Linked DNA regions of Alligator mississippiensis. The protein of the gene in region 3 purifies or fractionates together with the protein of the main gene of each other region. This does not show direct contact. Links are inferred from orthologs where the notes say so. Each region holds a gene or a part of one and is shown on either strand. Other genes may lie near its edges.

Region 1 (10,829 bases), on a different chromosome or scaffold from region 3:
CACCTTGATACATCATTTTAAAAAATAAATCTCAGAACATTTTGGATTAAATGGAAAACTGCAATTGGTAGAAAGAGGCCCAAGTAATCTGTACTCTCTTGACTGTGTGTTCAAATTGAACATACACATTTGTTTTATTAGGGACTTGTAGATTGAAAGCTCCGTAGTTCAGGATTTGTTGGATTCTTTATTTAAAGTTAAAATTCAGGCTTTTTATTAGACACCAAAAGTTACTACATTCAAGATTACAACTCTGTTTGAATATGGAATAGGGGTTTTTTTTGTTTTTGCTTTTTTTAAGTTACAGCTGAGAAAAATCAATATTAAAAATGACTCCTTTTGAGAGATTTATCTCACTCTCTCTTTTTCCCAAATCATCCAAATAATAGAGAAGTCCATGTACTGAAACTTAATTCCTAGTAATTCTGGTCCAGTTTTCATAATTGAAAGCTTACATGTAGGGGTGATATATCAGTTGGCTATCAGATGAGAACTGATAAAAGGAGAAATGATGTTATTGGCTACTGACTTTTTAAAATTGTGGTAGCTGATAATTACAGTGGCATGCCCAGAGCACCCTGGCAAGCGTAGTCTGGTTCCTGCACTCTGCCACTGACCTGATCTCATGACAGACTATAGGCTCCAGTGAGCAGCAGGAGGCACCGGGGAGCGGTCACAGGGTGCCTTGCTCAGCAACAAAGGGATTGTTCCCAGCTCCTGCTGCTGCCATGGCAAAGCAATGTGCACAGCAGGGGCCTGAGCACTAGGGCTGCATGCAGGAGGGGCAAGGCACTGTGCGAGGGACATTCTACTTCATCAAGCAGCTTTGCAAAAGCAGCTTCTCCCTGGCAACTGCTAGAGCTTGGCTCCGCAGGGCCCACCATGCTGAGACAGCAGCATGCTCTTGGGCTTCAAATGCCCCTGGCACTGCTGTCCACACAAGGGTTCGTCCCGCCTGCCCGGGATGGCAGCATAGACTGTGTGGGGAGCAGGGCTGGGGTTAAGAGCCATGAGTGAGGGGGCAACATATGTGGGAAAAAGGCAGTCACCACCTTCCTCATCAAGGGCTGGAGCAGGCAGGAAGGGTGTGGGTGTGTGTGCGTGTGCGTTGCAAAACAAAGAGGTTTATGTCAATAGCATGCCTTGCACTATTACTAAATACTGGTTATCGGATTGGCATGTGTGGTTGGCTAATCATCAACTATAGGCATCGTCCAAGAAAATCTTTATCGGTGCACCCTTACTTACATGCCAGTCTCATCTTCTCTGGAGAATCTCACAAATTTTCCAAAATGGTACCTCTGTCTCATTGCTCAACTGAGCCAAAACCAGCCTCCAAAGATGTCCACTCCCTTTATTCACCAACTCCTCACAGTGTTTCTATTTAAGTCTTGAGAGTATAGGAACTTCTATCTCAACTTCTATCTCTACGGAGAACAAGAGAAAGAAAGAGCCATTCTGAAAGAGTCCCTTAATTTAGGGTTAAGACAGGTCTCTGCCCCATTTTCCTCCATCCCACTGGTTGACAGCCCAGAGGTTGCAAGCTTGAGGCCATAGCAGAAGTGTTCATGGCACAGCCCTGTCAAGTTCCAACGTATCTGTGAATTCTGCTAAATACCTTGTCAGAAGGACACGGAAAAGGAAAGGAAGTCCATAATGTTCCTCCCTCCACCCCGAAGATTTTTCTAATTACCTCTAAGCTTTAGAATCAAAGATCCTTGCCACAAGGCAGCTTCATTACCATAGTGAAGGCTTTGGTTAACCCATTAAAAATAAAAGGGGAATACAAACTCACAGAACAGTCAATCCCTTCTACAAATTATGTTGCTCCTAAGTGACACTTGTTGTTTTAGGGAGTATCATCTGAATATATGGTTTGAAAAATGTTCCTAGGAAAATGTTGCTGGTAAGAGACTGTTGGTCTTATAAGGTGATGCTACAAACTGTACATCTTTCTGAAATTAAAAAAAACTCCTACTGAACACAAACATGTTTGCACGCACATGCAAACACACAAACTATAGTCTTCTGAAACTCCCAGTACTCTGCATTTCAAAACAACACATGTGCAAAAGCACTTAATCTGCATTCAGTACTGCAGCTATCTTTGTATATATGCACATGCTCAGTTTGACATGTTAGAATGCCCTTTAAGAACAAGAATGTGTCATAACAGAAAATGTGTAAATTCTCATCATCTGTTCAACATGATTTTGGAAACATAAAAAAAAAATCACTCCTAGATTCAAATGAAACACAACTGTCAGCATAAAATTAGGGCCTTTTTTAGATACATGTAGTATAGAAGGAAAGTAGAAACCATAAAACAAGACTGCAGCCTCTATCCTAACACCACTGTCACCTACAATTCCTAGTGAATTGCCAAGAAAAGAGCCACACCTTGTTTATATGAATTACATAATATAAGCCTGGTCCATGTTAAAAACTCAATAGGAATAACCATTTCAATTGGGGGTCTGCTTTTCTTTCTGAACCAAAATAGTGACACACATGAAATCCCCATTAAGAACGCAGTTACAAGAGCACAGCTCCTGCCTTTCCTTGGCAGAAATGGTCCCTACTAGTAAACAAGGTGTTTTTTCCCAATCTAACCACATTCATTTTAAACAAGACTTGTGAAAACTAATTTCCTTTGCACTGTTGATCAAAGCAACTTATTTCAACAGCAAGGTTGCCACATTCAGCTGCTGTCCATCCACACTGGCTGGAAAGAAAAACTGGAAATGGGAGGTTAGGGCCGTATTATCTGTGAGCACGAGTGACTGGTGCCTCCTGAGTCTGGGGGTGCACCAGATCACTGACAGGGGGGATCGTCGAGCCAGCAGCAAAACCGGAAGTGCAGTGGTTTCACTGCTGGCACACCCCCTACGCGTCACCCATGTCTGTAAAGGGCATGAACACTGTCCTAAAGTGAGGGCAGAGCATCAGTGGGATGTGAGACAGCCTCCTGAATAAGAAACAAATCCTGTCAGAGAACACCTGACCTCTACGCACAAAGCCTCAGGGCAGTGCTTCTCCCCCAGGGCACCATGGCACCAGTTTGCCAGGCATGTAATAATTATCCTATTTGTATAATTTCAACCTTTGCATGATGTACAACCAACAACAGGAAAAGTGTTTAAAATTTATGATGTTATCCAGGCTGTAGCCATATTGGTCTAGAGAAAAAAGCAATCGGGACTCGTAGTAGAGATAGTATCTTTCATTATACCAACTAGATTTTTGAAAAAAAAAAAAAAATTAAAGAATTTTTTTTGTGCGTGCAAAAATCTTGCTGGTCTAATAAAAGATATAATCTCTACTATGAGTCCTGATTGCTAAAATGTACACCAGTTTTTGGGGTGTAGGTTTTAGCTGTGTTGGTCTAAGGACATAGGCAGACAAGGTTCCTTGGGCGAATCTGATATCTTTTATTAGACCAACCCAAATAGCTGGAGAATAGTTATTAAGCAAGCTTTCGAGTTCAAAAACCCTTCGTCAGGCTAAGGAAGTTTCAGCAGTTGGTGTGTGCTCTTCCTGGATGGAATGAAAAGTAAAGAAGCCAGGGCTGGGGAGTTCATTGACATGGCACATGCAAAACCCATGTCACTCTGGGAGCCTGAAGTCACTTTGAGGTTTGCTGTCAGCACTTTCTCATGCCGGCTGGCCTTGAAAGAAAGAAATGACTCAACTTTGACGACCCAGTTCCCACCCATTCACTGACGGCTTGTAGTGAGCAATAAAAGACTCGCTTGCGTGCTTGTTTGCGGATCTGTGATAGCGTTTCAGCAAATACGATAATTTGGAGCTTCCAAAGCGATCACTTCATATGTAAGACCTGGCCCCGCTGCAGCCTCTTGAAACGCCTCCGAGGCTGCGAGAAGCGCCGAGGGGCCCCAACACGGCTCACAAGCGAAGCTCAAGAGACGATTATTTTTCTGTAGCGGAGCCAGCGGTGAGGGAAGCTCCCACCTGCGCAGGGCCGCGGGCCAGAGGCGTGGGACAGCCGCTGCCCAACCCCCGTCACAGCCCGTCCCGCACGCTCCCCCCGGCCCCGGGCCCCTGGAGGAGGAGAAGGAGGAGACTCACCCGGCAGCAGCCCGGCTCGGCCCTGTCACTTCGCCCGCTGCCGCGGCGGCCCCGAGCAGCCGCTGACAGGCGCACACTGCGCAGGCGCCTGACGCAACTGCCGAAGCGACGCCCGCGAGTCTCCCCCGTTCCCCCCCATTGCGCCTGCGCTGCAACCCTTCCCCCGCCCCGCTCGACCGTCGCTACTGACCTACTGCGCCTGCGCCAACCCTTCCCCTCTGTTCCGTGCGGGCGTACTGCAGGGGAAGGCGGGAGTCTCGCGAGAACCAGTGTTGTGCTCACGGACGCGCCTGCGATGTTCTTGCACGTGGAGGCCAGCGGGTGGGTTCGAGGCGTCGAGCCAGGTGCTGGCCGGGGCCTGGGGTGAGCGGCAGTGGATCCCAGTGGCCAAAGCATCTGCACCTCCTGACCATGCTCTGCCGCCTGCTCGTGGCTCACGTACCCCGGCCGTGCCCTGGTGTCCCACACAGGGCCAGTGTTGTCAAGTCTCCTCAGAAAAGAGAGCGGCACTGCCTTTCAAAATATGCCTGACCCGTTTCCAAGAGAGGAGAGCAGGGGTGCTTATCAACCCGTGACTCCCCAAAAATTAAAGCAACTTAAAAAAACCCAAAAAACAAGCCTAATTCTGCTTACTATAAGCAGACTTGGTAACACTGCCCACAGGGCTTCTCATGGGGTGGGAAATTTAGCAGCTGGAGAGTGGTAGCCACTGCCCCTCTGCCCAGCCATCATGGCTGGATGGGGCTGCCGCCCTGCCCATCCAGTCCCCAGGGCAAAAAACTGGGGTGCCACTGGCCAAACCTCTTTGTGACCCCAGGTCTTCGGCCTAGTTCTCACCTCACCAGACAGGCCTGGTTCTGTATCTTGTCCAGATGGGCCCAGTTCTCCCTTCCTCTGAGGCTGGAGTTGGTTCCTGGTCCCCAGTTCTTCTTTCCTTGTTCACGGTTCCCTGTTCCTTCTTCAGATCCATAGGAGCTAAAAGCATTTGTGTTTATTATACACGTGGCTGCCCTCTAGAAAAAGGCAGAGGTGCTGCCCAACACAAAGCCTGGTTTTTGTATAGCGTGGTGCCACCTGGCAGGTTCCCCCTTGGACTTTTGTACACCGTGCTCAGTAAGGAGCCGAGTTAGGTTGAGACTGTGGGGCAAAATCTGTGTTGGGTCACCATCAGTGACATAGTTCTGCAATCAGGGGACTCTCTGGAAGCACCTTGAACAGGGCACAGCCCACCCTGAAGCTTGATTTTCAAGTATTCTTCCAATAATGTGTTTTGAGACTGCAAATTGATTCTCGTTTCTTTTCAATTACAGTTTCCTAGTCAAGGTTTAGAATGATTTGGAGAGAGGAAGCTGAAGTTGATTGGTTCTTTGTTCCCAGTTCCATATTCCCAGTTTCTTAATTGTGTAAAGATTAACTTTGAATAAGGAACCTGATTCAGCCTCATTTTGAGAGACAGAGGTCTGCTGATTTCTTTATACATTGTTTTACTTTTGTTATTGTTTCCCTGCACTGTCTGTTAAAATGTGCTGCACTGAAAATTATGCTGAGTTTATTAATTGCCTGCATTCATGTATTGCTTTTTCAGTTCACAATAAGGCAAAGGCATATATAAACAATTCTTGACATTCTTAGAAGCTGCAGCTTTAGATACATGCCCATATATTTGATCATATGTGTTACACATGTGTGTAAAATTGTAATATCAGCTTTCCTTTTCCCAGGACGTAATTCAAAGTGGGCATTAGGTGATGTATAGCACTCATATGCTTGAAAACCTAAATAGCTGTAGGAATTAAAGCCCAACTGAAGTCACATTTTACTTTTTGTGATGTGGAAGAGTTGCTTGGAAAAGCAAGGTTTGCCACCGTGATATTGTTAGAATACTCTGGTCAACTGTTAGTGTCTCTGCAACTGACATGTTTGTTGAGTTGGATAGCAACTTAGCATATAATTCATAATACAAGATTAAATGATTACATGATGGAGGTCTTCTAACAACAGAGCCCCTGATATCCAGGTATAAGTTACACACCCTTGCTCTCTAAAGATCAAACATTAGGTGTAGGTGGGTGTCCTGTACATGAGCAGTGTGAAAGGTGATGCAGTGATGTCCTGCATGTGAGCACATAAAGTTTTATGTATTCTTTACCAGAAACATCTTGTTTTCCATGGACTGTCTTTTATTAGACCAACTAAATAGTTGGAAATATTGTTCTTTGCAGCTTTCAGGCACAAACACCCTTCTTCAGGCATGGGGAGAGTCTGCTGTTGTTTTGTGCTCTCCTGGATGGAATAGAAGCCAATATGTAAAATGTAGGTCTGTGAAAATGCAAATGCATGGCAGTGTTTTTTCAGTTCTCTTAATTCTCCTCTTTCTTTCCAGCATGTGTGCTTTTCATGCATTTTACCGGTTTTGTGTTGTATTTCTCCTTTTACTTGAATTTCACTTATTATATGTTGATCATGTTTTCCTGGTCTCCCTTCAGTTCTCATAAAGAACCAAAAACACCCATCCCAGTTGCATTTTGCATTTTGCTTTGTATCAAAAAGGAACATTCATCTGTCTCGATTTCTGTGTTTTTGTTTTTAAACATAATCATGTTAAAACACAGAACATGCTGTATTATTTTAATTTTTTGGCCAAAATGCATCTGTCCATTTGTTTAACTGTAGCAGTAATTTTGATGTTAGAAAAATTTGTTTCCACTCATCCTTACAAAAAATTATATTGAATCTTGATGGACATGAAGCAGTAAATATACTTTCCTTGTGGAAAGGAAGCTCCAGACATAACATTTTCTGTAATGTTTTCACAATGCCCTCGAATCACTGTTATTAATGTCAGAGTCACTGCTAGCTAACTGTTTATCAATCTCTACAATTTTTACTAGGGGTGCACTGATAAAGATCTTTTGGGCCCATACCGATGGCTGATTGTTAACAAACCATATTGGCCAATACCAATCCAATTGCCGATATGCAGCCTGGCAGGTTGGAGAGCAGTGTCCAGTTGGTAAGTCTGTTGGGGGGGAGGGGCATGGAGAGGGCAGATTGAGGCCCCCATGGTGGGGGAGGAAGGGAGCTGGGGATGGGGCAGGCTCTGCCAGGGTGGGGCACAGGATGGAGCTGCAAGCTGGAGCTGCAAGCCGCTCATGCTGGGGGAGCCTCCCCCCTGCACCTGTGCACAGGGTGACAGTGGGCTGCTGCTACCTACTTGGGGCCAGAGGCGGTGCCAGGCTCTTCTGGTGTGGCGGGGCTGGGCCAGGGCTGCACTTGGAGTGAGTGGCAGTGGAGCTGGGAGGAGAGGTTAGGAGGGCTGTAGCCCACCCCGTAGCCCCCCCTCCCACTGCCACCCAGCTCAAGTGCAGCCCTGCCACGTGCCCCCCCCCCCCCGTTCCAGGAAGAGCCTGGTGCCACTTCTGGAAACAAGTAGGAAGCAACAGCTCACCATTGCCCTGTGCACAGATGCGGAGGAAGCCACCCTCTGCTCCAGCACCCCCACAGACGAGTCGCTCGCAGCTCCATCCTGCACCCTGTCCTGGCTAGACAGCACTTGCCCCAGCCCCATCCCCTCTTTTCCCTCACCATGGGGGCCTTTATTTGCCCCCACCCCATGCCCCTTCTCTCCCCCTGCCTCTTGCCCCCAACAGACTTACCAGCCATATACTGCACACCAAGCTGCTGGGCTGGCCACGTGCTTGCATGTGGCATTTATCACCAACATTATTGGCCACATCAGCCAAAAACAGCTGATTGCTGATAATGTCAATTTCCCTTTTATCAGTGTTGATATGATATGGACCAATAAATTGGTGCAACTCTAATTTTTATCCCTACAAGTATATTTTGCCCAGTAGTCATAGATTCAGAGCCAAAAATGTGTTTGTTTATATTGTTTTAGGAAATGAATGTCCTCTTCTTTGTCATCATTATTCAGCTGATGACCATACAGCATTGGTATCTTGAGTAGTGTTAGAATCTGTAAAATGGGGAAATCCTGAATCTATTCATGAATCAAAGGAACCTTCTTTGGTCTTGTGTGGTACCTTGGCAGAGCTACTACTGTTCAGTGCAGCTTCATGTGGTAGACAGAAGCATGATATATTATGTCTACAACATCTTAAGCAGTTTGAAACCCTAGGCGAGTGAAGTTAATCATTACATGGATCCTGGTTTTGTCTGATAAAAAAATCCCAAATTCTCTGATTAAAAAACCCAATAGCCGCATTTTTCTGTGATTAAAATGCAACACCAAATATATAGGTATGAGTTGAACGCCATGTTTTATTGATATATTTACAATTTTAAAGTTATTTGGAAGCCTACCGGTGCCTCAGTCATTATAATAAAATAAATCCTAAATATCTTTTGGCATTTGATTTTGTTTTTTGTTTTTTAATCATAGAAAATCAGAGCTATCCCTGCCCCTCTTTGCTCAGCAGGATACGGGTCTAGCTGAGGCTCTCCCTCCAATTGCTTTGTGGTGCTGAGCAGCCCTGATAAGCTGATGTTCTGCCCCTGCCCATGCCGTTGCCCCTCACTCCCAAGCCACCCTAGCCCTGTTGATGCCCCTCGCTCCCAGCCCCCCAGAGAGTGGGGAATGGCGTGGGGGAGGGGTGCGTGGGCACAGGCAACACCTGGGGGTGTGGGAGGGGACATATGCCTCCCCTCCCATTTCTGCACCCACAGTGGGACACGGGACTGCAGCTAGGCCAGACCAGCTACGGGCAGGGGTTGCCTCTGTAGCCCAGTGGGCAGGACCCAGTGCGGGAGGGAGTGCCATGCCACCATGATCACCAAGCAGAGGCACCCCCTGCCTGCCCAGCAGCAGTGGGTGCATAGCTCCATGCCCCTGCTGCAGCTGTGCCTCACTTGGATGACCATGGTGGCGCAACACTCCCTCCTGCACTGGATCCCACCTGTTGGGCTGCGGAGGTGGCTCCTGCCCAGAGTTGGTCCAGATTGGCTGCAGCCTCATGTCCTGCTGTGGGCACAGAAATCTTGGGAGGCACGTGTACCCCCCATTGCATTGTCTATGCCCCCCCTGCCCAGCCAATGCATCCTGTGGCCCCGCCCCCATAGACTTACCTGGAGGCAGCTGTGGGAGCTGCTCTCCACCTCTGCTTGGCTGCCATATGCTTTTGCGTGCACACATGTACGTGGTACGCCCTGCCTCTGATCGCCCTCCCCCATTTCCTCCAGCCCCAAGGAGGCCCTGGCAGGCTGGAACTCTGCCAGCCTGCAAGGAGAAATTTACGGTTTCCCATGTTTTTCTCCTTTAAAAAAGAAGTACATAATATTCTCCTTTAAAGGAGAAAAACCGTGGTTTTCTCCATTAAAAGAGAAAATCCGTGTTTTTTTCCACAGCAAACAGAAAACCCAGATCCCTGATCATTACGGTGGTTATGTTGCACATGACTGAATCCTCACACTTCTTGCAAAAACTGTAAGTTATCATTAAAGCTTCATTAAAGGTTTTTGATTTTAAGTACCTCTTATCCTCATGCCAGAGATTATAGAGCCATTTTCTAAAGTTCATTGTGTTTTTATGAATTCTACCAGCAATGAGGCCTTGAGCTGACTTCTCTTTTCAGAAGTCTTCTTTCTGTAACCATTGCAATTCATGCAGAAAGGTACTGACCATATCTTCATCTTTTTCCAAGACATCTTTTCTCACCTTTTCACATTAGAAATTAATAGAAGAGGAACAGTACAGCGTTCAACACCAAATGAGCAGGAAAACTGCAAGGCATAAAGCAACAAGGTAAACTAGAGAACACTGAAAGAAACAGCCATGTGATTTGGAGTCATGTGACTGAACCTTAGCCCAGGGAGCTGTCACATTGCCGTCATGCCGTTTGAAAACTAAGCTTTGGTCAGGCAGTTTCCTGCCCAGGCTGCTTCAGGAGAGTCCCTCACTCACAGAGATTTCTTATTTGGGGTGACCCAAAGTGGATTTTGCCTCACAATCCCAATCTAACTTGGTTTCTTAATGCAATATATGTAGCGCAGAGGCATGGGGAGCTGCCAGGTGGCATTATACCACACAAAAATCAAGTTTTGCGTTGGGCAGCACCCTTGCTCTTTTCTCTTCAGGAGAGTCTCTCAATTACAGGGATTTGTTATGTTGTGTCCCTTTTACACACATGCATGTGTATTGACTGTAACTTTTTAATTCCTATGGATGATGACTGGAGTATTTGATATGTGCTATGATATTAAGTTTTTGTTAGCAAATATATGCATTTGATGAAATATAGAACTTTTTATTTTATCTGATAATTATCTTTCTAATTGTTGAAACTTCGACTAAGGAACTGGGAGCTGCAAATGAGGAACCAGGAAACAACTTTAGCCTCATCCCTTCCCATTGTCTTGTCCCATCTATCTCTTTCCTTGCCATCACCTCAATGGCACAGTCTGTCATGCTGGGTTATGGGCAGCCCACTCTGGGAGTCATTCAGGGTCTATGGGGAGCAACCAGGATCAGGAGGAGTGTGCAGAATCCAACAGCTGGGAAACCAGGAAGCCAGGAGGGCAGTCCAAAGAGCTGAGTCACAGAGCCAGAGGGTTGGCACAGCATGGACTCAAAAGGCAAGCTGGGTTGTGTATTCAGGAGATCAACTGGAATTCCACTTCGGAAGCTGAAGGGTCAAGCAGAATACAAAGTCCAAGGGCAAGCCAGGTCAGGTAGCTGAGGAATCAGTTGGAGAGTCAGGAAAGGCAGGAAGAGCAAAGTA
Region 2 (10,424 bases), on a different chromosome or scaffold from region 3:
ATTTGCTGTAGAGGATCAGCAACTTCTCTGTGACTTTACTGAGATGTCAACATGGCACAATTGGTTTCCCCGGCTTTTGTCTTCTTCTAGTCCATTGTGTCTTTTTTTCCTGCAGTGGCATAGGCTCATTGCTGGGCTCCTACACAGGGCACCAAAAGGAATCTGGCCTTTTTTATTTCCTCCTCATTCAAGATGCAGGTAACATATGAGCCTGGCTGTCTTTTCCCCTTTCACCTGAGTACCTGCCGTGCCCCACTCAGGAGGGGAGGCATTGACCCAGTGGACACCATTGGCCCCAAACCGGTTTGGCCTCTCCCACAACAAGTCTCAGCTCTCCACCCATCTCTCTCTGGCCAAGGGCTCAGAGGTTCGCGGTCAAGTAGCAATGAGGAAGTATCGCCCTTTTGTGTAGTTGTGCAGCTCCACGTAAGTAGCTGGAGACCAAAGCTGGGCATGGCAGGGCAAGGGGACAGGGTGGTTCACGTGCTCTTTCCTCTCCCACCTTTTGAGGGTCCTTGCTTGGAAGTTGGACCAAGCTTAATTTCTAGCTAAGGAACCAGCAGGGACTAAGCACCAACTGGGGCCTGGTGACTGGACTTACCTTGCACACACTGTGGGGCCCTGCACTGCAGATCTGGGCTGAGCGGGTGTTAAACAGGTGCAAGGACAGTGTGGGTCCCATTCACCTGCTAGAGGCCCTGGCTTGGGGAGAGCCGTGTACCCTTTCTGCTCCCACTCCTCTTCAGCTTCGACAGCAGCCTGGGAAGGGACATGGATAAGGCAGCATGGGGGAAGTTTTCACTGTGGCTGTCCCTACCCATTTGGCTTTTCAGATGGAAAAGTTTGGTGTCCAGGCCTGTCAGGTAGACCATCGCATGCAAAACCTCTTCCTAGGAATTTCTTGCTAGGTCTAGGTATCAGGGACACTGGAAGGATCAAAGGCTGTCACTCAGGTGAGGACAGGCCTGGTTCCATCCTGGCACAGGTTAAGCAAAGCCCACCAGACCTAAAGACCTGTCCCACAGGTGGAGATGAGACCACTGACAAGCCCACAGTTCAATGTCCTCTGCCCCTGTGATGCCAGGGCAGGCTGCTCCTGCCCAAACACACCGGCAGGCCTCAACCTTCACATAGGGAGACTGCTGCTCCAGGGAGTGAAGTCAGCAGTCATGCTGAGATGGATAACAGTGATTTCTTTTGTTCTGTGGGCATTTCCTTCACCTGGGTTACTGAACAGTCATCAGCGGGTGACTGTTTCCAGCCATTACCAGTGTGGCATGGCTTGAATCTGGAGGCCTGGAGATGAAGCGCTCAATATCCTAACAGCACATCGGTGGCAGAGCCACACAATCCTACAGTCTTTTTTTTCATTTACTTTTGGAAATAAATATTGGGTTGTTTGTTTTTTTTACTTTAGCAGACCCTCATTCGGTGACCCTTTGCATTTTATTAGCAATCAGTGCTCTGTCTGACAGTTTATCTTTCATGCAGTGATGAAAGTGATTTGCATTTGGTCTGGTGCTGTACGGGTGAATGGTGCCTTACCAGAGATTGATGCTTATCTGTGGTTTTTATTTATAGTACATGCTTGATTATGTGACCAACTGATTATTGGCAGGTGCTTCCTAGACAAGAAGATTGGTTCAGAGACTACAAGCCCTGCCCCTTCACAAGACCTTCTGCAACATAAATTCAGTTCCTTGCTCCAGTGAAAACAGTGAGGGGAGGTTGGGTGCAGGAGACAAGGGTTGGTGCCTGAGAAATGGCTCGCATGGTTCTCTTCCCCCAGCTCCTCCTTTTTCCGTCAGTGGGCCAAGCCATCCCACAGGGGGTGAGCAAAGCCTTTTTGCTGGTCTTTTACACATCAAGTCCTATTCAGGAGACCCTCACACAATATGATGGTGTCAAGGGCAGGGTCTAGGCAGCACCTCTAGCATCCAAACCTTATAGTGGATGAGTGGGACAGCAGGAGGAGCAAACACGCACAGTAATTCCATCCTGCGGAAAGAGGATGGATTTCCTGAAGCTCTGGTTAATGCCCCTTTCAGCTATATGACCCCTTAAACAAGCCTGCAAGCTAAGACAGAAAAAAACACTATTTATGCAGCCAGATCAGCAATACAGCAGAAACACAGCAGCAGTTTGGGGGGAAAGAAACAATTCCAATATTGCTGTGGTTCCGCTTACGCCTCAGATCTCATTAAGATAAAGCATGTCACTGCTGCGGCAATAGGGTACAGGATGCAGGCACCAGATCAGCAGAAGAAGAAGGTGACTTGAAGAAGTTTCTATCTATATATGTCAAACAGACCTCTCCAGCCCTGCCACCTCAGTTGAGCCTGAGAAATAAATATGTTAACGCAGTCACCAGCCAGCAATTTTGCATGCAGAAAACACAGTTATATGCCCCCCCATTCAAAGAGGCAGTTGCACAAACACAGCTGTTTGCCACATGATAAGGCTTTCTGCAATAGAAACTGAAGTTACTGAACAAAGGCTAATTTCAGCTCCCACCAAGCTACAGGGAGAGAGAATAATCAATGTGTGCCAAAGGGAAGACAAGTGAGAGGGGGCTTTTCCCTTCTCACTCAAAGTCTCCAGGAGGGCTTAACCAATAGCAAATAAAATCAAGCCACCCAGAGTAATGGGATGGGGTCTCAGCCAAGGGCAGCACCCCAGAAACTGCAACAATCCTGATTGCTGTGAGCAGCACAAGAGGCTGCAAGAAGAGTCAGTGCCAGATGCAGTGCAATTAAAATCCTGTCCCTAGCTGCCAGCAGGGGACAGAAGATGGATGCACCAAGGGGCATGGTGCTCTTTCTCCTCAAGAGGCTATGCAGGATGGATCTGGAGCAGGGTTAACTGGATAAGGATTCCTGGCTTCTGGCCTCATAGCTATAACTGCCTTTTTATGGGGCACCAGGCAAGCCCCTTTTTGTTTCTCCCTCAGTAAAATAAGGCTGATCATTCCTACCCAGCAGAGCAGCTCAGAGATGCCATTAGTTATCGGGAAAGCCCGTTGACAGGTCAGATACTTTGGAAGGGCAAAATCCAGTTGCTTTAATTTTATGACCAATGTGTCGCCTAAATCAGCTCTGGCCCCACTGTGCTTGGTGCTGCCTACATAGCAAATGATTGGTGCTCTGATTTATTAACAAGCATCACCTCAAGCTTCCTTCTTCTCATGCCTATGCTGCTCCCTACTGTAGTGCTGGATCCCAGCTGCAAAGAGCCAGCAAGGGAAATTCCCTCCTCCTCTCTTTATGCCAGGTTTCTAGGCACAAGCAGTATACTCCCCGGTAAGCTGTCCATTTCCCCCTTCCCTCTTGGTTTTTTGACTTTATCACACGCAAATCTATTTAAATTGTATGCAGATCTGTTCTCAGTATGGTATGATATTCAACTCATTCGGCAGCATCGAGATCTTTTCTCCCACTGCAAATGAACACTAAAGATAAATAGCAGGTGCGTATGGCGAAGCGGGGAGAGAAAGGGGCAGTTTGGATACTTTGCATTTGTTAAAATAGTTTTGCTCCATGGCTACTGGAGGTCCCTGTCTCCAGTTCTTTCACGTTGGTGCTAGCCACAGAGCCTCTCTAGCTGTCTAACTCTCCCCCCTTGAGGATGTAGAGAAGGAAAGTTGGTGCCAGGGGACATCTGGTGGACATGCTGCATTTTGCACAGTTCTGGCACTTGAGCAGGGCTGGGAATTGATCACGTTGCTGTCACTCTCCTGCCATCATCCTCATGATCACAGTCATGATGTTGGACTTCCAGTTCTCTCAGCATTTTCCACTTGGAAGGCACAGGTCACACTGAGACCTGCTGGCAGCTAGAGGCTCCCAGGGGATGCTGCCTATCTCTTCTTACATACTTCCAATCTAGCAAAGTATTTCTGTGCCCCTGTTCCCCGTAGCACCTGAGAGCCTCTCTACTGCAGCAAGAAAAGACTGCATCGGGATGAGAATTATCAGGAGGAAGGTATACGAGGTCAGGGTGCTCATGTGAACTCCTGAAATGAGAGGGAGTGTCTAGGGACCTCCTCTCATCTCCACGTGCAGGGGGAGCAGTGCACGGCACCTATTAGGGCTAATTGGCATTTCTGTGCGTCAGCAGCAGTTAGTCAGGCACTGAGGTGAGAATGGTCACCCTGGCATTCAGTTATTTTTTAGTGGCAGCAGCAGCACAAGGCACTGTGACATCCATTAACAGGGCTGAGCACTTTTATGGCCTTTCCCATTCAAGCATTGCAGAGTATGTGAAAGCATTAATCTTCGTGATGCCTCTGAGAGGTTGGTAAATGGCATCTTCAGGCACGCTTAGAGCGAGAGGAATAAATGATGGGATAAAGAGATTATCCAGCATTGAACCAGAAAGTCAGTAGCAGCACTAGCAAAAAGAAACCAGGGGCCTTTACTCCTGATTCCCTGCTAGTCAACATCACAAACTTGTGGATAAGGCACAATATGAGGTGCTTTATCCATCAGCAGTCCTGGGTTTTCCAGGGCCAAATGTCAGGCTGTCCCAGAGTTCTCCAGGACTCCCTCTCGTGGGATGCAAGCCCCAAATTTGAACAGCGAAGCCCAGATCGGTATAGGATCAGGTCCAGCATTGGACAGGCCCGGAAGCTGACCAGCCGCTGCCAAGGTCAGGGCTGCTATTAGCCAGCTGTGGGCCTCAGAAGCGTCTCCTTGAAACGTGGTCACTTGAACCGGAAGACTGGGAGAGCCTGGGCCCAAAGCAGCCTGCTGGGAGACGGGAGAGCAAATGTACTTCATCGCCTTGTGCCTCAGTTTCCCCAGGCAGAACGCAGAGGGAGGTGCTGCGCTCCCGGGTCGAGGACTGCCACCCAGCAATGAGATGCCATGCAGGGGCCAGCGAGGATCGTGCACATGGGGTACGAGAAGAGAGAAGGGCCCTTGATGCATGCAGGTGAACCTCGATTTTGCCTGACACTGCTCTAGCGGAGGCAGTAAGAGGTACAACAGCCAAGGCATGGCATGGCACGCGCACCACATTCCTCATCTGCTCCCTACTCATCACTAGAGATGCATGCAGTCAACACTCCTGGAAAGCAACGACACTCCCAACGTGGCCTTCCCCGGGCCACTGCCACTCCCAATATGGCCGCTCCCTGGAGGCGCGCATGCGCCTTGTGTCCCTATGCAGCGCACCTGTGCGCCGGTTCCCGCCACTCCCAAGATGGCTGCCAATGCCGTAAGGGGCGGGAGGTTGCCACTCTCAAGATGGCGGCACGGCGGTGACGGGGCCGCGGCCGGGTCGGGCGGAAGTGGGCGGTGGAGGCTGTTGCGGCCCGGGCTGTAATGCGGGATGGTCCCCACGGAGGAGGCGTCCGCGCGGCGCAGGGAGATCGAGGGCAAGCTCAAGCAGGTAGGGGGGCGGGGCGGGCTGCCGTGGGGGGGGGGGGGAATTTCCCCGCCCCGGGCCTGGGCGCACACACCCACCCCAAAGCACACCCTCCCGGCTGCAGGCCTGGCACACCCCACGCTGCACCCCCGTCCTGCCCCGGGGCCCGCACCCTGATCCGGATTAAGCTGCAGCCTGAGGAGCACCAAATGCAGTCACTGCAGCCCCAGCTTTGGGGAGCTGCACAGCTGTGGTGCGCCCACCCTCCCTACATGTCTGTACACATATGTGCCATGTCTGCGTATTCGTGCGCTGTACATGTATCTGTCTCTGTGTGTTATATGACACGAGTAGATATACACATGTACATGCATGCGCTCGCTCGCTCTCTAGGTATAGAAAGGAACTCACTCGCTCTTATCTATATATTGAGAGAGAGAGCGAGTGTGCACACACGTGTGTATATTTGTGTGTCCTAAAGAAAGCCTATGGTCAATGGAGAAGAGCGAGAGTGCACAAAAACATACCTGTATGTGTAGATAGATATAGAGATCTCTCCATGTAGGTTTATATCCGTATCTAGCTCTTTATAGATATAGAGATCTCTATCTAGATATAGATATATATCTTATCTATGGATGTCTAACTATAGATCTATCTATATATGTAGATACACACACACACACACACACACACACATGTCAGCATATATGTAGATGTGTGTGTGTGAATGTATATATATAGAGAGAGAGAGGGAGAGCGTAGGCTTGTCAAGCATGGCCCACAGGCTGGATCCGGCCCACAGAGCCCTATGATGCAGCCCATGGATCCCTGGACTGACTGCACACACTGCATAGGGCAGGTCTGGGTCTGGGCCTTGGCCCTGGCCCTGGCTGTGTGTGCTGCACGCGGTGCATGGTCTGAATCCAGCTCCTCCCACTGCACGCAGCAGACAGGTTAGTTCAGGGTATGCACTGTATGCGGTGCCCTGCCAGACTGGCACAAACCTATCCTACCATTCGGTTTGTACCTGCTGCGTCCATTGGTGGGCACAAGGCAAACTGCTGAGCCATGTTTAAATTGAACTTGGAGCATGTCAGACACGGAGTGAGCAACATAGGTAGGAAGCAGACACTAGGACCAAAGTTGTGTCTGCGCTCTGTACCTGCACCATAGATTTTGCTTCTGGCTTCCGGACTGCAAGCTGTACGTTGTTGCATTGAGGCTCATCATGCCCAAGGAGAAAACCTTCCCTTATTTAAATTGTGTGTTTAGGTCACACTGATTATGTTGCTTTCTTTGGGGTAAATACATTTAAGTAGAACCTAAATACTAGGTCTAGAATGATTTGCCAGGATGTTCCTTCTAGGAGGAGTTAGAAATGCTGGGAAATGTTTTGCCTCTGAGCTTTGGAAGTTCACCTGTGCTGCAGAATTGATTTTTTTTTTCTTTCTTTCTATACCAATACCAGGAAGAAGAAACACTGTCTTTTATAAAGGAGAGCCTGGAAAAAAGTGATCAGCTCACAAAAAACATGGTAAGTCAAATCCCTTGAATTCAGTGAAAAAAGGAAGGGTATAGTTTGCTTAGTATCTTGTTTATATTGTTAAAACAATGGTCCAATGAACAAATTACCTAGAGATAAATTGGGGTGTGAATTTATAATGTTTCAGGTGCTCTGTGGTAATTGCCCATGTGTGTGCTGTTGTCTTGCAGTATGTGAGAAGCATTCCCTGCTTCCGTGGAGGGTCATGTCCTATTTGCTGCAGGGTTGTAGCATGCATATAAGCAGTTATCATGCAGTAGCTGATCTGTCAACCTGTACGCTATCTTACTGGGTAGTAATTTGTTTGTCTGACCATACCTTGATAGGATTTTTTGGGGAAACTGATGCAGTTTTTGGTACCTGATATAAGAGTTATAAGATATGTGATGTATTAGACCTCTTGGTGAAAGAGGAAAGGTGATAAAGGTAGTTGGTTAGAAGCCTGTTGTTTGTGAAGCTGTAGTCTCTCTAGGTTCCTGTATATCTCCCCTCATCTGAGTGTCTCCCATGTATGTGGAAATATAAGTAACTTTCTCTAGTCAGCAACAAGCTTATGTTGTTGAGTTTTTCTGTTTCTATTTTTTTAACTGTTAAAGAGGAATTTATTAGCAAGCTGGGTTGAAGAGTTGAGTCTTGCACTTAGTCCTGAATACAGTGATTTTTGTGGCTTTTTATTAACTCATTTGTTCAAGAGTTCTGTAGCTGAGGTCTGTCTCCTTAAAGATCTGTCTTCCTATGCTTGTGAGCCTTTCCATGACTGGTTGCCAGTCTCATGGTTCCAGTGCGATGCAGCTGATGTTATGAAACCTACGTGTAGAGAAGAGGAGATGAATTGGATCAGGATAGACAGGTTAAGTGACTTGCCTAGGGAGCTGTAGTAAATCCATAGTAGAGTGGGAATAGAGGCTGGGAGTTCAGGATTCCCTGCTCCCTTCTCTAATTGCTAAGCCAAAACATAGTGCTGCTGTCTGTTCCCCTTTTTCCTTTGGCTTGTAGGTTTCCATCCTTTCCTCCTTTGAGAGTCGCTTGATGAGACTGGAGAACTCAATCATCCCTGTGCATAAGCAGACCGAGAATCTGCAGCGCCTGCAGGAGAATGTTGAGAAGACCCTGTCCTGCTTGGATCACGTCATTAGCTACTACCATGTGGCAAAGGACACTGAGAAGATCATAAAGGAAGGGTGAGTACAGCTGCAGTACACTGCTGTCCTCAGCTATGTTGCTGGATCTCATTGCTGTTTAGAAGAGTAGGAGTTGTTGGATCCCACAAGGATCTTGGTGATCTCAGTACTCTTTTACACATTTCCAAGACCTTCTTCCCACTGCATGCTGCAGACATGTCAGCCAGACCTATCAACAGTGCCCCCTGAGGGAAAGAGCTTGCTCTTCTCTCCATGCTGTTCATACAGATTCTGCACTTGGTCCCCAGGCCAAGTTCGAAGCCAGACTGTGGGTTCCATTCCTCACATTTCCTACAAAACCTCTAGCTTCCTTGGAGACTCCACTGCCTTTTTAGGCAGGTTGGACTGGGGACTCTGCTTCCTCTTTTAGATGTTATTGTTCCAATGCAGCTGTGTGATATGCGCGGCTTCCTCTTTGCTAGAAGCTGTGTGTTCTGCTTACTCAGCATTCTCATCATTTGCTGGTTTGGGGAGAGACTGATGGCTCCAATCTCCTGTAGCATTGCAGAGTAAAACTTACAGCAGTGTTAGGCTACCCACTATTTTATATGTGAACTGGATCTTTTAAAGCCAGCTGTTCCAAAATGCCTATTGAGAGAGCTGCATAGGTATCAGGACACAGTAGAGGAATAGTGTACTGCACTTGCATGTCTCAGATAAATGCACTGTTTTGCTTCATGGCATGACAGTGCCAATCCCGATTTATTACCTGTTGCTTTTGCTGTAGCAAACTTCAGTTTTATGCATCTTGGGCCACTGACAGACAGTAAAAATAAGGTGTGATAGAATCTCATGCACGATCCCATGCAAAGCAGGAGGTGATTGTGGGATCAGGCATCAGATCCCATCACACCATATTTCAGGGTAGGGGGAACCCAGGATCATGATCTTGGGTTTGTCTTGCCCTAGCAATCATTGCTCCTGTATGTGGGAGCTCCATCAGGTAATGGCACAGCCAGCCATGGGAGCTCATGGTGCACCCTATGGATGGGAGCTCCCAACACTGACAGGACTCCCAGCCATGGTGAGGAGCACCCTGAGCTCCCACAACTGGCAGCTCTGTCAGCAGTTCAAGGCTTCCCCAGCTGGAACGCTCGGTCAGTGGACCAGTACTCCCAGCTACACTCCAGAGACTGGAAGCACTGGCCACCTGTTCAATTAAAGACATGATAGGAACTAGCAACAAAGTTATTACATAAAATATGTGTAATAACTTTGCTTGTTCTGGGTTTTATAACACCGTCAATGGAATGAACATGCACCCATGTCGCTACTTAAGACACATTAACAAGTTTAACATCTTCAGTGTTACTATGTGTCAGGGGCCCCAGATAAAGGCCAAAACAGCTTAATCTTGTAAAAACTCAGTGGTACCCCCACTGCTTGTATCCTGTTTAACTGCAGAATTTAAGAAACCAACTAGGAGCCAGCAATTTAAAGGCTTCTAAAGCAGCTGGTTGACTAAGTCCTGCCAATTCCAAGGTTGCTGTTAGAGGTGTAATGTTTTCTAAGGGACAAGGGCAGGACCTTTAATGAACACACAAAGCTTAGGGCAGGGTGCGCTGTAATTACTGAGCATTGGTTACACTGAGTTGGGGTAAGTGCCCTGCTGCATGCCAGTTGTGCATTTAAAGGGAACACTCAGTAACAGCAAAATCCCCTTTCATCTCAGTGGGAAGCTTTTGTTCCAAACATTGTCCAGTTCTTCATTAGTGTCTGCACTTGCTTCCTCCTCTCATCCATGCCCAATTTCCACTGCAGCCCTGCAGGGAGACTGGTGGAGTATTTGGCCTGTTTGGACAAAATCCAGAAGGCGGTGGAGTATTTCCAAGACAACAATCCTGACAGCCCGGAACTGAACCGAGTGGTACGTAGCACACTGGCAGATCCTGGCAGGTTATATGGATACATACTTGGCTGCCAGTTGCCCACCTGCCAGTTGCTGGCAAAGGGAGATACATTGGCTGCCTGCTTGTAGGAGCAGTGTTTCAGATTCCTCCTCAGTTGCTTAGCCCAAATTTGAAGCACCGTATTGGTTTGCTCTTGCATCCTGTATTGGGAAGACCTGTGGTAGCTGAAATCCTGTATCTTGTCTTCAGCTAACTTGTGTATTTATTCCTGTCAAGGACAGAACATTTTCCTTAATACAGAATCCAAGACTTGCAATCTTTCAGAAAGCACAGGAAGTTTGCCAAGGTGTCCAAGCAGTGGCGTGCTTTGAGTTTGCACAGGATGTAAATGGAGGGCTTAAATCCTCCAGGTGCCTTTTGAGTCCTAATGAATTAGCTCAGTGATGTTCAACCTAAGGCTCGTGAGCCAAATCCAGCCCA
Region 3 (10,446 bases):
CTCTAAAGATGCCAGCTCTTAGTTTTCACTTTTTGACAGCAAAAAAAATAACAGACCAGCTTTTCTGTTGCAAAGAACTCAGACCACAACTAAGGATTTCTATTTGAAATCTCTGGGTGCATCTTGACAAGTACACACATGCAGGGGTGCACATTGCCCAGGAGACCAACAGCAGTGGTACATATTTGTGCTGCTGCTGCTAGGTGTCCATGGGCACTCCCCGGAACAGGCAGTCCAGGGCATGACAAAGTGACCTGGGTGGAGTAGAGGAAGCCTTATGAGGTTCTGGGGGCTTCCCAGAGCAGCAGTGGCGCTAATCCAGCCACTCAGAACCTGGCCACCAGCCAAAGTGTGGTTCTGGCCAGCCAGGCTCCTTTTTCGGGCGGTGCACACTGCTGCTGTGTGCACCACACCACTTTTTCTAGCAGCATTTTTTTTTGACAACAGGATCTTCTGGTGTCAGAAAAAATTCTGTGCTGCAAATTAGCAGCTCAGCAAACAGGTACATGTGCACCATGTGCAGTTTGCTGTGCCTCAAATGTGCATACTTGTCAGAACACGCCCTCTGGATGTATCCTGTGAATCATGTTTGTGAACCTAAGAGTGCTAACATTGTGTGGCACACTGCATAACTCTTGCAAACTCCCTGGTTGAGAATCACTGCACTACACCTTGGTGCCTCCACGAAACAATACAACATTATGTAAACAATATCACAGCATTTGCCAGAATCCAAGCCAATGAAAAAGAACTAAACTCAAAACCAGCTTGCCTGAATTTAATTGATGCAACAGAGATATGCTGTTCAATTATAGACCAAATCTAAATTAGATGCTCACAGTACTGTGCACATCAATAATAAATTGATTGTACTGATCTTTAAATCAATTACATGCATCTCCATCTTCTGAAAAGTTACAGTGTATTTTGAAAGACATTTTCCAATTTTACTACTTAAGCTCTAAAAAATAGCAACAACTTCAAGCTCTTGCTGATGCCTTTTGAAGTTACAGCAAATTGTTTCAGAGGTACCCATCATGTACACTGTTAGGTCAGCATTCCAAGGATGGTAATAAAAAAACTATCATTCAGCTGTCACCCATTTGAAACACTGCAAAAAAAGCCAGCCTATGTAAGGACACTCTAAAGGGGCCCAAAATAATCTAACCTGTGCAGATACTTCATTATATACTTGGGAAGGAAGAGAAATGTATTTAGATTATCATAATAGCATCAATATTTCATTTAATTTACCTGAAGGACTAAAACCACTGGCCAAAAATGAAGTAACTGTGTTTTGTCATTGGATAACCACAGCTGAATTCTCTGCGTGTCACAGACAAGCGATTAGGAAACAACACTCTCAACGAAGAAGAACAGTATTAGAATATGCACAATATTCTTAAATCTTGTGACAGATTATTCTAATTACTGTGCCACCATTTACTAGACTAGATATTGTTAAAGTCACAGATACATGTACTTAAGTAATATCTAGTACCGATAAGCTACACTCTGAATGCATCAGTACTCTCTGCATAGTCAGACCACCCTACTCGTATTCTAAAGGATATGTCTGCAGGGTTTGCACTTTCCTTTAAGCAATTACCTTGAAAAAGATACAGGGCTATCTGTGTTTACTGGAATATTATGACTTTGAGCCAAAGTCTGCAGAGTTCTTTTTCAAGCAAAGGGCCTGCAGACTATAATGAAGCAAAACTTTTTTAGTGATATATATTACTGGACCAACTGTAGAGTTGGAAGAGATGTTTTTTGGCTCAGCCAGATCAGGTCTTCTTTCTCCATTTTTCTCAAAGTTTTCTTTGCAACCTTCATTGCAAAGTGACATTTTCCCCTGCAGTGTTAAATGTTACTCCTGTTTCTTTTAATTTGTTCTCTAATGACACCTTACTGATGTGGGAGCGACTTGTTCCCTCTGTGGATATCATCTTCCCTACAGAGCACTCAAACTGCTAAAAGGTCCTTAGCTATTTACCCTGCGACACTAATCCTCTTATTTCTGATACTTGGCCCATTTTCATTTATGAAGTACACTGCAGTGCTACACTTTAAATCCAAAGATTTGTTCAGCCAAACTGTAAGAAAGAATGGTATTGCATACAGGTGATTTTCCTGTGCAGCTGAGAGCTTTGAGCTCCCTCACAAGTATAAAGCATGCTTCAAGTATGTTTAAAAGTGTTAAAGGAGGATTGCTACTTTGTAGGGGCAGCCTCAGATAGCATTATCAATGTCACAGTCCTATAAGTTTTTCTACAGTGTAATGCACTGGTTGATTAGAAGTATATTTTTATCAATATGGGATAACTGCTGTTAAGAAATCTGTTTGCTGTTTGATCTGCAGGGTTATACAGAACTTGACTGTATTTTTTACCTATAATGTGTAGCAACTAACATACCTATATTTTGTTTTGTTGCATTACCAGTTAATGGTTTTATTTGAAACTGATCCCTTGAATGAAATATGAATTTCATACTTTCCCTATAACTTGTCATTTTAAAGTTCATAATTTTTAGGGAACAAGCTTAAAGCTGGTCCAGCGGAAGTTAAAACGGAAATCTAATGATGCAATACAAAATGGCAACTGAGAACCACCTTGGATCCCTTAACTATTCCCTTCCCAAACTTTTAGATTTTATTCTGCTCTTGAAAGATGCGCATCTTTATTTAAGACTCCGATATTTCTGCAGTATTCATAAATTCCTTAACCCTTGTGTAGCGAAGCTTTTGTTAATCAGTGCTATGTAGTTAATATCTGACCAGTTTTGAAGAAACACTTCCTGCTACAAAAACTGAGACCCACTAAAGCAAACCTACCTTCTGAGAGAGTCAGGAAATCCCTAGAATGTACATAGAGAAGAGAAGACAAAGAAAACTTCAAGTATCTGACTGTTTATACCTAATAAATGTCAGGCATTTAATATGTTCAAAACAGACAGGTAATTCAACCTTTTTTTATCTTTCTTTATAAATCTCCCAAATCCTCACCACTTTCTTCTTACAGTACCCAGTTCTCTCCGTTCCTCCTTCCATGCTCCACTCTGAATTTCCAGCATGCTTCCTATCTACACCTCCCAAAGTTTGTCGGCCTTCTGTTTGCTACCCAGCTTTCCAAGATCTCTCATACATCCCCTGCATGTCCCTGGAACCATCCCCCACTTCCCCAAGCTTCACCCTCATTTCTTCCACGTTCCAACATCTTCCCAGACTGCCGGCAACCTCGTCATCACCTTTCTCTGCTTCAGCCAATCTCTTACCCCTTCCATGCTCCTCCTCTTTTAGATATCTCAAAAACTGGATGCGCGACTCCAGGACAGGCCAGTCCTACCACCTGGCTGGTCCTTCCCTCCTCATGATGCCATTCTACTCCCCCGCAAAGTACCGAGGGCATCTGCCCACAATAAAGCAAAAAATATTTCTGGAGTCTGCGCATAAAACTAGTTGGAGACATAAAGAGCCAAAGAGAGTATTGTTTTCAAGTCCAAATGTTTCCACAAAAAGTCCAAATGCTATTAAATTATTAGCGGGAGGGAATCTAACCCAGGCTGAATGCAGCAGACTTTCAGGAAACTCCATTTCCCTGCGGTGCAAGGATCTAAGATTAAAAACTGCCCTTATTCATTTTACAGAAACGTGCTTTTGCCTTAAGCCCCTAACCCACACCCAGCATTTACCCCAGCACGGCTGCCCGGGGCGTGCTGGTCCCGGGTGCTGTCCAGGGCTAGTAAAAGCGGAGGGAGAAACTGAAGTGCTGGCACCGGCCCTGGGCCGGCAGCTACATCCCTGCTCCCAGGGGGCGCCCAGACACACCCACTGCCTTTGACAGCTCCGCGCTCGCCCGCCCGGGCCGCACCTCGGCCGCGAGCCCACGGCCGCGGGGCGCTGCGGAGGGCGCTGCAGCCCTGGGCCCGCCCCAGCCCCGGCCGCTGACAGGCCCCGCTGCGGCAGGCGCGGCGCCGGGTTGAGGGGGCGCAGGGCCGGGGCTGGGACGGGCCCCCCAGCAGCACCAGTCGCGGCCCCACCGGCCCGCGGGTAGCTGCCAGCGCCGGCCCTGCCCCCTCCCCGGCCGTACCGCAGCGTGGGCCCCACGCAGGCAGTGTCCGTGCTCTCGATCTCCTGCAGGATCCGCTCATGCTCGGGGAGACCGTCCGCCATCTTGGGTGGGAGGAGCCAGGCGGCGGCGGGGGAGGGGGCGGGGCCGGCTCCAGGGAGCTCGGCCTGAGCCGCGGGGCGGAGGCTGTAGGAGGCGGCCTGCCCGGCCCGGCCTGGCCCGGCCCTGGTACGGGCTCGGGTGCACGACCCTGCGCAGCGGCCCCCACCCAGACGTGTCGCCTCGGAGCCGGGGACCCACCTGGCCCCGCGTCTTCCTAAGCTGGGCTGGTGGCCCTGCTGCGCCCGGGACGCTGGATCCCGCCCGGGGCCGGTCCGAGGGCGCCCTAGGCCACCTGTGTCCCTCGGCGCCCGCCGCTGCCAGTACAGAGGATCGTTAGGGCGACGTTGTCAGCGACACGCTCTTGTCCTAAGTGCGCTCGGGAGTTGACAAGACAGGAGCCGCGCGCCCAGCGACCTGTCTGTCCCCCGAGATCTTTGCCGAGGTGTTTCTGTCCCTGCTGAGCCACAGGTCTTAGGCTGACCATGGGCGGGCAGTTGTTTTGGGCGGAGGGCTGCTTACTGAGTTTTGGCAAGCTATTGAGGGCTGCATGACAGATAAATATTAATTTTCTAAATTTTTTAGGGGCACCGCAGGCCGGATAGAAAGGGCTGGTGGGCCACATCCAGTCCCTGGGCCCCATTTTGCCCACCCCTGTCTTAGACCAAGGTGGAACTGTAGCCGGCCAGGGCCGTTATTTTGAATGATGTTCCTGCTGTTTTGTTCTGGGTGTAATTTAAGCCCCCCCCCCCCAATTTTGGTGCTCTAGGCGACCGCCTAGTTCACCTGCTGGTTGGACCCGCCTTGGGAATCCCAACACCTCCGAGAGGCCTCTGTGCACCCTGCTGAATCTGCTCGAGATTTGCCTCCCCAACCCATCCAAACTCGGTGAGTCCCTGCCATGAACAGCCAGCAAGTGCAGCCGCTCCCCCTACTCTAAAGAGTCTGGACTGTCTGCACCAGTCCTGCAGAGATGACCGGAGCAGTGTGCAGGGCCCTGCCCCCAGACACAAGGGAGCCAGAGGCAGGGTGCCGAGTGGCCAGACATGCCAGATTCAGCAGCAGATTTCGGTGGTGGGGAGATGCCAATAGCTGGACTTGAAGCCAGCAGCAGCAGCGCGGAGTCACTGCAACTGCTCCACCCAGCTCCGTGGGGCCCCAAAAGCACAGGGCCCCCGGGGCGGTTGACCCGGTTCACACCCCCACCCCAGGAACAGCCCTACCTTCAGAAACACAGTCCAGCAGGGCTTTCGGCCACACATCTCTGGGCTAAATAACAGAGAACAAATACCACTTCTCAGAGTCCAGTGTAACTCTTCTCTTGTCTCCCGCTTTACATCCTGAAACAGAAGCACTTAAAAAATCTAACTGGCCTTAAACGGTCCATTTTTTCATGCATCTTTGCAGAGATTTTTCTTTTAAATAGCAAGTGCGGTCTTCCTTTTTTATATCATGTCACGCTGCATCTATTTGTGATGCATTTCAGAGCGGTCAAGATAGCTTTAAGAATCTAGCTTTATCTTGCTGGATCTAAATCTGTTTGGATTCGCATGGGGCTGTGTGCAAAAATGTTATAGATCCAGCCGAGCCCAACTGTCAGATATATGTCCTCCTTGTGTTGGTTTTGCACCAGGATATGTCAGAGCCTGGATTTTTTGATCAAGTAGCAATTAAAATGCTTTCTCTTTTTTGACCATACAAGTTGGAAGCTTTCAGCCAAAAATCATTAGCATACAGCAAGCTTCAGGTGTGTAAGTGCATTTGCAGTGTTATTAACAGGGATGCGGTGGAACTGGAACAACTAGCTTCTCTTAGATGGTAGAAATTTTGGGCTTGGGTTAAAAAAAAAAACAAGCTGGATTCAACAAGATCTAGGTACTGAATATGGAGTTTTTTGGGCCACTTTTTCTGGCATACTTGCAGCTGCTGTATTTTTCTGTCCATTTAGCCTTTAGAATTTGGTAAACTGGGGATTAAAAGTGTCAAGATCTACATGGATCTATATATCATATATATAGATTTTCTGCTGCTCCTTGGCTCATGTAACATCAAGGTTCTTATTTTCTAGTGAAGTAGGATTAGATTGTTTTCTGTTTAAATTGTATAATTTGGCAGACTGGGGACAAAATTGTTAATGTCCAGGGGCCAAACCTGAGTTGTTAGTGTTCATGTGACAGGATGCATCTGCTGTCTAGGCAAATGTATCTGTTCACAAATGGAAGCTAACTTTTGAAAATGTGGACCTTAAGAGCTTAATTTTAAACTGGATTGGCCACTTATGAGTTTTCTAGCACTGAAAAACTGACAGCAGTTTTCAGTGGTGCGTGTAGTTAAACCATTCCAGAACATGGGCAAGGTGCAATTGTATTTTACTCTATTTTAGTAACTGTAATATAATGGCATTGAATATGATTTGCAGCGTGTTTATGTTTGTGGCTAAACCATGTTTAATGCTGGTTCAGCTGGGTTTAATGATGATTGCTGCTTTTAGCAACATGGATTTTTTCTATATGTCAACAAGCTCCTGCAAAGTATTGGTTAGGCAATGTCACAGGAGGAAGCCAATTCATGAAGGGCACTCTTTCATCAGTTTTGGCCACCTCTATAAATTTCCTTCGATAAATAATGTATCAAGTAAAATTCTTCCTGTGTTCCTTCTATTCATCACCAATCTAGACAGAAACAAGTTGTAGGACAATTTAAATTTACTTCTAAATGTATTTGGTTTCTTCCTCTTGACTGATTCTCACTGCAGTCTGATACCCACAATGCCAGGCAAGCTATTTATAAAACTTCTGCAGATACTAATAATTAAATGTAAACATACTACTTTACATGCAACTTACAACTATAATCTATGATAGAGATAGATAAACATTATATACATGAAAATAATCAGAACTATCTTCATTTGCTGCCTTCTTTTAGCAAATTGTAATTGTGTTATTACTCAGATTTTCAGACATTTAGGAATCTCACTAAATGCATGCTATTGTATTTTAAAAATTAAATAAAAATAATGTCTATCTACAGTATAGGAAATAACAGTCACCTATTTTCAGGCACGTAGCTAATGGCATCAAATTAAAAACATTCCATCATGCAAAATAGTTATTACTTCTTACATAATTTATTAAAATAATTTCCTTCATAGAGTACCTGAAGTCCTTGCCCTCAGGGGAAGAGGTTGAACAGAAGTAGCTCCTAGTGTATGTTTGCTCCTTTAGGAGCCAATCCTGCTCCCACTGAATTCAAAGGCCATTTTTCTATATATTCCAGTATAAGATGACCAGAGTTCAGGTATTTGGAGCTGAAGGAAATAATAGGCAAAGAACGGAACAAATCTATTTTAGATAATATAACATGATCTAAATTATACCTACCTTAAAGTGGTCCCAAGGGGCAGCTCAAAGGACTCAATCTCAGCAAGGGCATTTTCATACACTTGGTCTTGATTTTCTTCAGAATAAAACTCTACCAAGCTTGGTTTGTTTTTTCCAGCCATTGATGAGTACAAAACTGTTCAAACTTTAGGGAAAGACTTTTATTGGAATTATTATTATTATTATTAACAGAATGATTCTCTACTCAGCAAAATCAGCAATGCAAAAACAGGCCCTGCGTTGACCTCGTGATTCCTGAGGACTTTGTGTCCAAGAATGTTGCACAGCTGCTGTTTTCCTGTCTCCTTCCATAGCATTTGCCAATTACTCTATGCCCAGTTCAGTAAGGTCTTTTATTGAAGCCTTATTTATTTTAAATGGAAAAACTGTCGTAAAAATATCGTTGTGTTAATAAAATATTCAATAATATTTTACTGGTAATAAGTACTAAACCAAAAGCCATTACAAATATTTATGCTTTATCAGTTTTTGAGAGTTTAAAAATCACATTTTCCTATTTTTAAGTAATTAATTTTTCCCTTTTGCTTTGTGAAATACCCACACAAACAGGAAACTAACTATACATATGGAAAAGGACTGTGGAATGCAGAACGTTAACGTGACCAGCAGGGGTGGTGCAGGCATTTACCCTAAAGATTTTCAAAAGGAGACTGAATGCACACCGTGATGGAGTTATTTGACCCCAGCAGTCTCTTCTGCCCAGAGCAGGGGGGCTGGACCCAATGATCTTTCTTATGAGGTGCCTTCCAGCCCTAAACTTCTGTGAATCTGTAAACATGACATCTCTTTCAGGTTTAGTAATTTTAAGTATCATTTACAGCTATAATAAATAAAAGGAAGTAGGGGTGCACTGATGGAGATTTTGGGGACCGATAGTGATAGTCGATTTTTAAAAAGGCATATCAGCTGATACCGATCTGATTTCCAATACGGCTGCATGCAGCTGGTAAGTCTGCTGTGCTGGATGGGGTGGAGGGAGGGAAGGGGCATGCGGAGGCAGATCAATGCCCCCTGCAGTGAGGAGGGAGGGGGCAGGGGTAGGTGCTGCTCAGCCAGGGTGGGGCAGGGTGCAGGATGGAGCCACGGCTTGTTGGTGATGGGGACGGCTCCCACCACTGCGTGCACCCTGGGATGGCATGGGGGGGCGGGGCATGTGCCCACAGATCTGCATGGGGCAGGGTGGGTAGGCTGCAGGCTGGACCTGGGGCTGCTCTGGGCTCTTCTTGGTGGGGGCTTGGGTCGAGGCAGGAGCTATGGAAGGGGCTGCAGCCACCTCAAATTTCACCATAGCCCGCCTGTAGTCCCACTCCCAGCACTGCTGCTGTGCGCCCAGCACAGCCTCAGGTCAACACCCTGCTTCCACCCATGTGCCAGGAAGAGCAAAATTTAGCGGGGCTGCAGCCCCCTCCATAGGCCATGCCGCAAGCCCAGCCCCCAACAAGAAGAGCCCAGCATAGCCCCGGGTCCAGCCCACAAAGGTAGCCTGCCCACCCTACCCCGTGCAGATCTGGGGGCACATGTGTACTCCATACTCTCCGGGTGTGCACACACCAGCAGGAGCTTCTGTCTCCCTCACAAGCTGCGGCTCCATCCCACACCCTACCCTACCCTGGCTGGGCAGTGCCTGCCCCTGCCTCCTCCCTCACCATGGGGGCTGTTGATGTGCCCACCCCCATACCCTTCCCTCCCCTCTCCCCTTCCACCACAACAGACTTACCAGCTGCACACAGCACTCCACACTGCTAGGCTGTGCTTCTCACTGCCCATGTGCTGCACTGAGGTTGCCCACACGCAGGGGCATTTATTGGCCAAACTAGAGGCTGCCTCAGGCTGATTTCCAATACAGCCAATTTCCTTTACATCAGTACTGATCTGATGGACCGATGTATTGGTGCACCTCTAAAAGAAAGTTCTAACAAAGGGTGATTTTAAAATAGTATCCATTTGTGTTTTACATAAAATTAACTCCGTTCTCTATGTAGGCTACATGTGAATGGACACCTGCTTCTACTTAGAGCACAACTAACTTCCAAGTCCTTGTCTGATCGTTATTACAGTAGTGGGGGCCAACATTTTTGGCAGGTGTGCCACAAATTAGCCTGGCACTCTCCCTAAGTGCCAGTCTTATAAGCTTTCTGCTTTTATCCCCATGTTCCCTGCCTGATCTAATGCTCTGCTTTCTGCCCCCTACCTTATCAGCCACTATACTGCCTGTCTCCTCTCCAATTTGCCGTGGCCCACACACAGGCTGCCCATACCACTTGTGGCACTTGTGCAACAGGTTGGCCATACCTGGATTCCAGTAAGGAAAAATACTTAATACAGCTGCCTCAAATGAATATCAATCTCAGACAGTTTTGAAAAACAAATTAAGTGCCAAATTAATTGAGAAACAATGAATTAAAGAGTTGTTTCCTTGTAAAAAAGGGTAATTTTTTTCTTGATTATGGGTTTTCTCAAACAGACCTCTATTCTAATTATACTTTAAACTACAAATTCAATTACTGCTTTGTAATATAAATATTTCAGGTGTCTGCTATGTTTGTGTACTAAGCAGAGCTTGTGACAAGTCCTTTAGGTCTTTGCATGCTTGTGATTGACCCATCCAGCCACTGGATGTCACACAAACGCAGACTAACAGTTCTGATCTTGACTCTGTTGGACACATATTAACTTTCAAGTTATTGTGAACATTATAAAAGTTAATATAATAATTACAAAATGTATTAAAAGGATTACCCAGTGGGTCTAATTTTAATATCTATATTTCCTAGATTTCTCCACTTACACAGAATTTGTGAGTCAACATCAACAAAGTTCATAAATGATACTACTCCACACTCCTGCCACTTCTCTTATAAGACCGCATTCAG

What was found.
Region 1: the proteins of EXOC6 (region 3) and EXOC3 purify together in Homo sapiens (affinity purification with mass spectrometry; 6 studies listed by BioGRID and IntAct, counting the BioPlex papers as one, with this or other methods). This does not show direct contact. The link is inferred for Alligator mississippiensis from reciprocal best matches to the Homo sapiens genes EXOC6 and EXOC3.
Region 2: the proteins of EXOC6 (region 3) and EXOC7 purify together in Homo sapiens (affinity purification with mass spectrometry; 4 studies listed by BioGRID and IntAct, counting the BioPlex papers as one, with this or other methods). This does not show direct contact. The link is inferred for Alligator mississippiensis from reciprocal best matches to the Homo sapiens genes EXOC6 and EXOC7.

What each region holds. Positions count from the first base shown.
Region 1 is NC_081826.1:146,162,413-146,173,241, reverse strand, and holds the start of EXOC3 (exocyst complex component 3), read right to left. Parts: upstream 4,195-10,829; 5' UTR 4,090-4,194; intron 1,428-4,089; exon of another isoform or gene 1,249-1,427; intron 1-1,248. UniProt on the Homo sapiens protein: Component of the exocyst complex involved in the docking of exocytic vesicles with fusion sites on the plasma membrane.
Region 2 is NC_081831.1:13,531,025-13,541,448, reverse strand, and holds the start of EXOC7 (exocyst complex component 7), read left to right. Parts: upstream 1-5,283; 5' UTR 5,284-5,331; coding exon 5,332-5,391; intron 5,392-6,838; coding exon 6,839-6,904; intron 6,905-7,909; coding exon 7,910-8,094; intron 8,095-9,855; coding exon 9,856-9,961; intron 9,962-10,424. UniProt on the Homo sapiens protein: Component of the exocyst complex involved in the docking of exocytic vesicles with fusion sites on the plasma membrane.
Region 3 is NC_081829.1:70,364,307-70,374,752, forward strand, and holds the start of EXOC6 (exocyst complex component 6), read right to left. Parts: upstream 4,192-10,446; 5' UTR 4,175-4,191; coding exon 4,092-4,174; intron 1-4,091. UniProt on the Homo sapiens protein: Component of the exocyst complex involved in the docking of exocytic vesicles with fusion sites on the plasma membrane.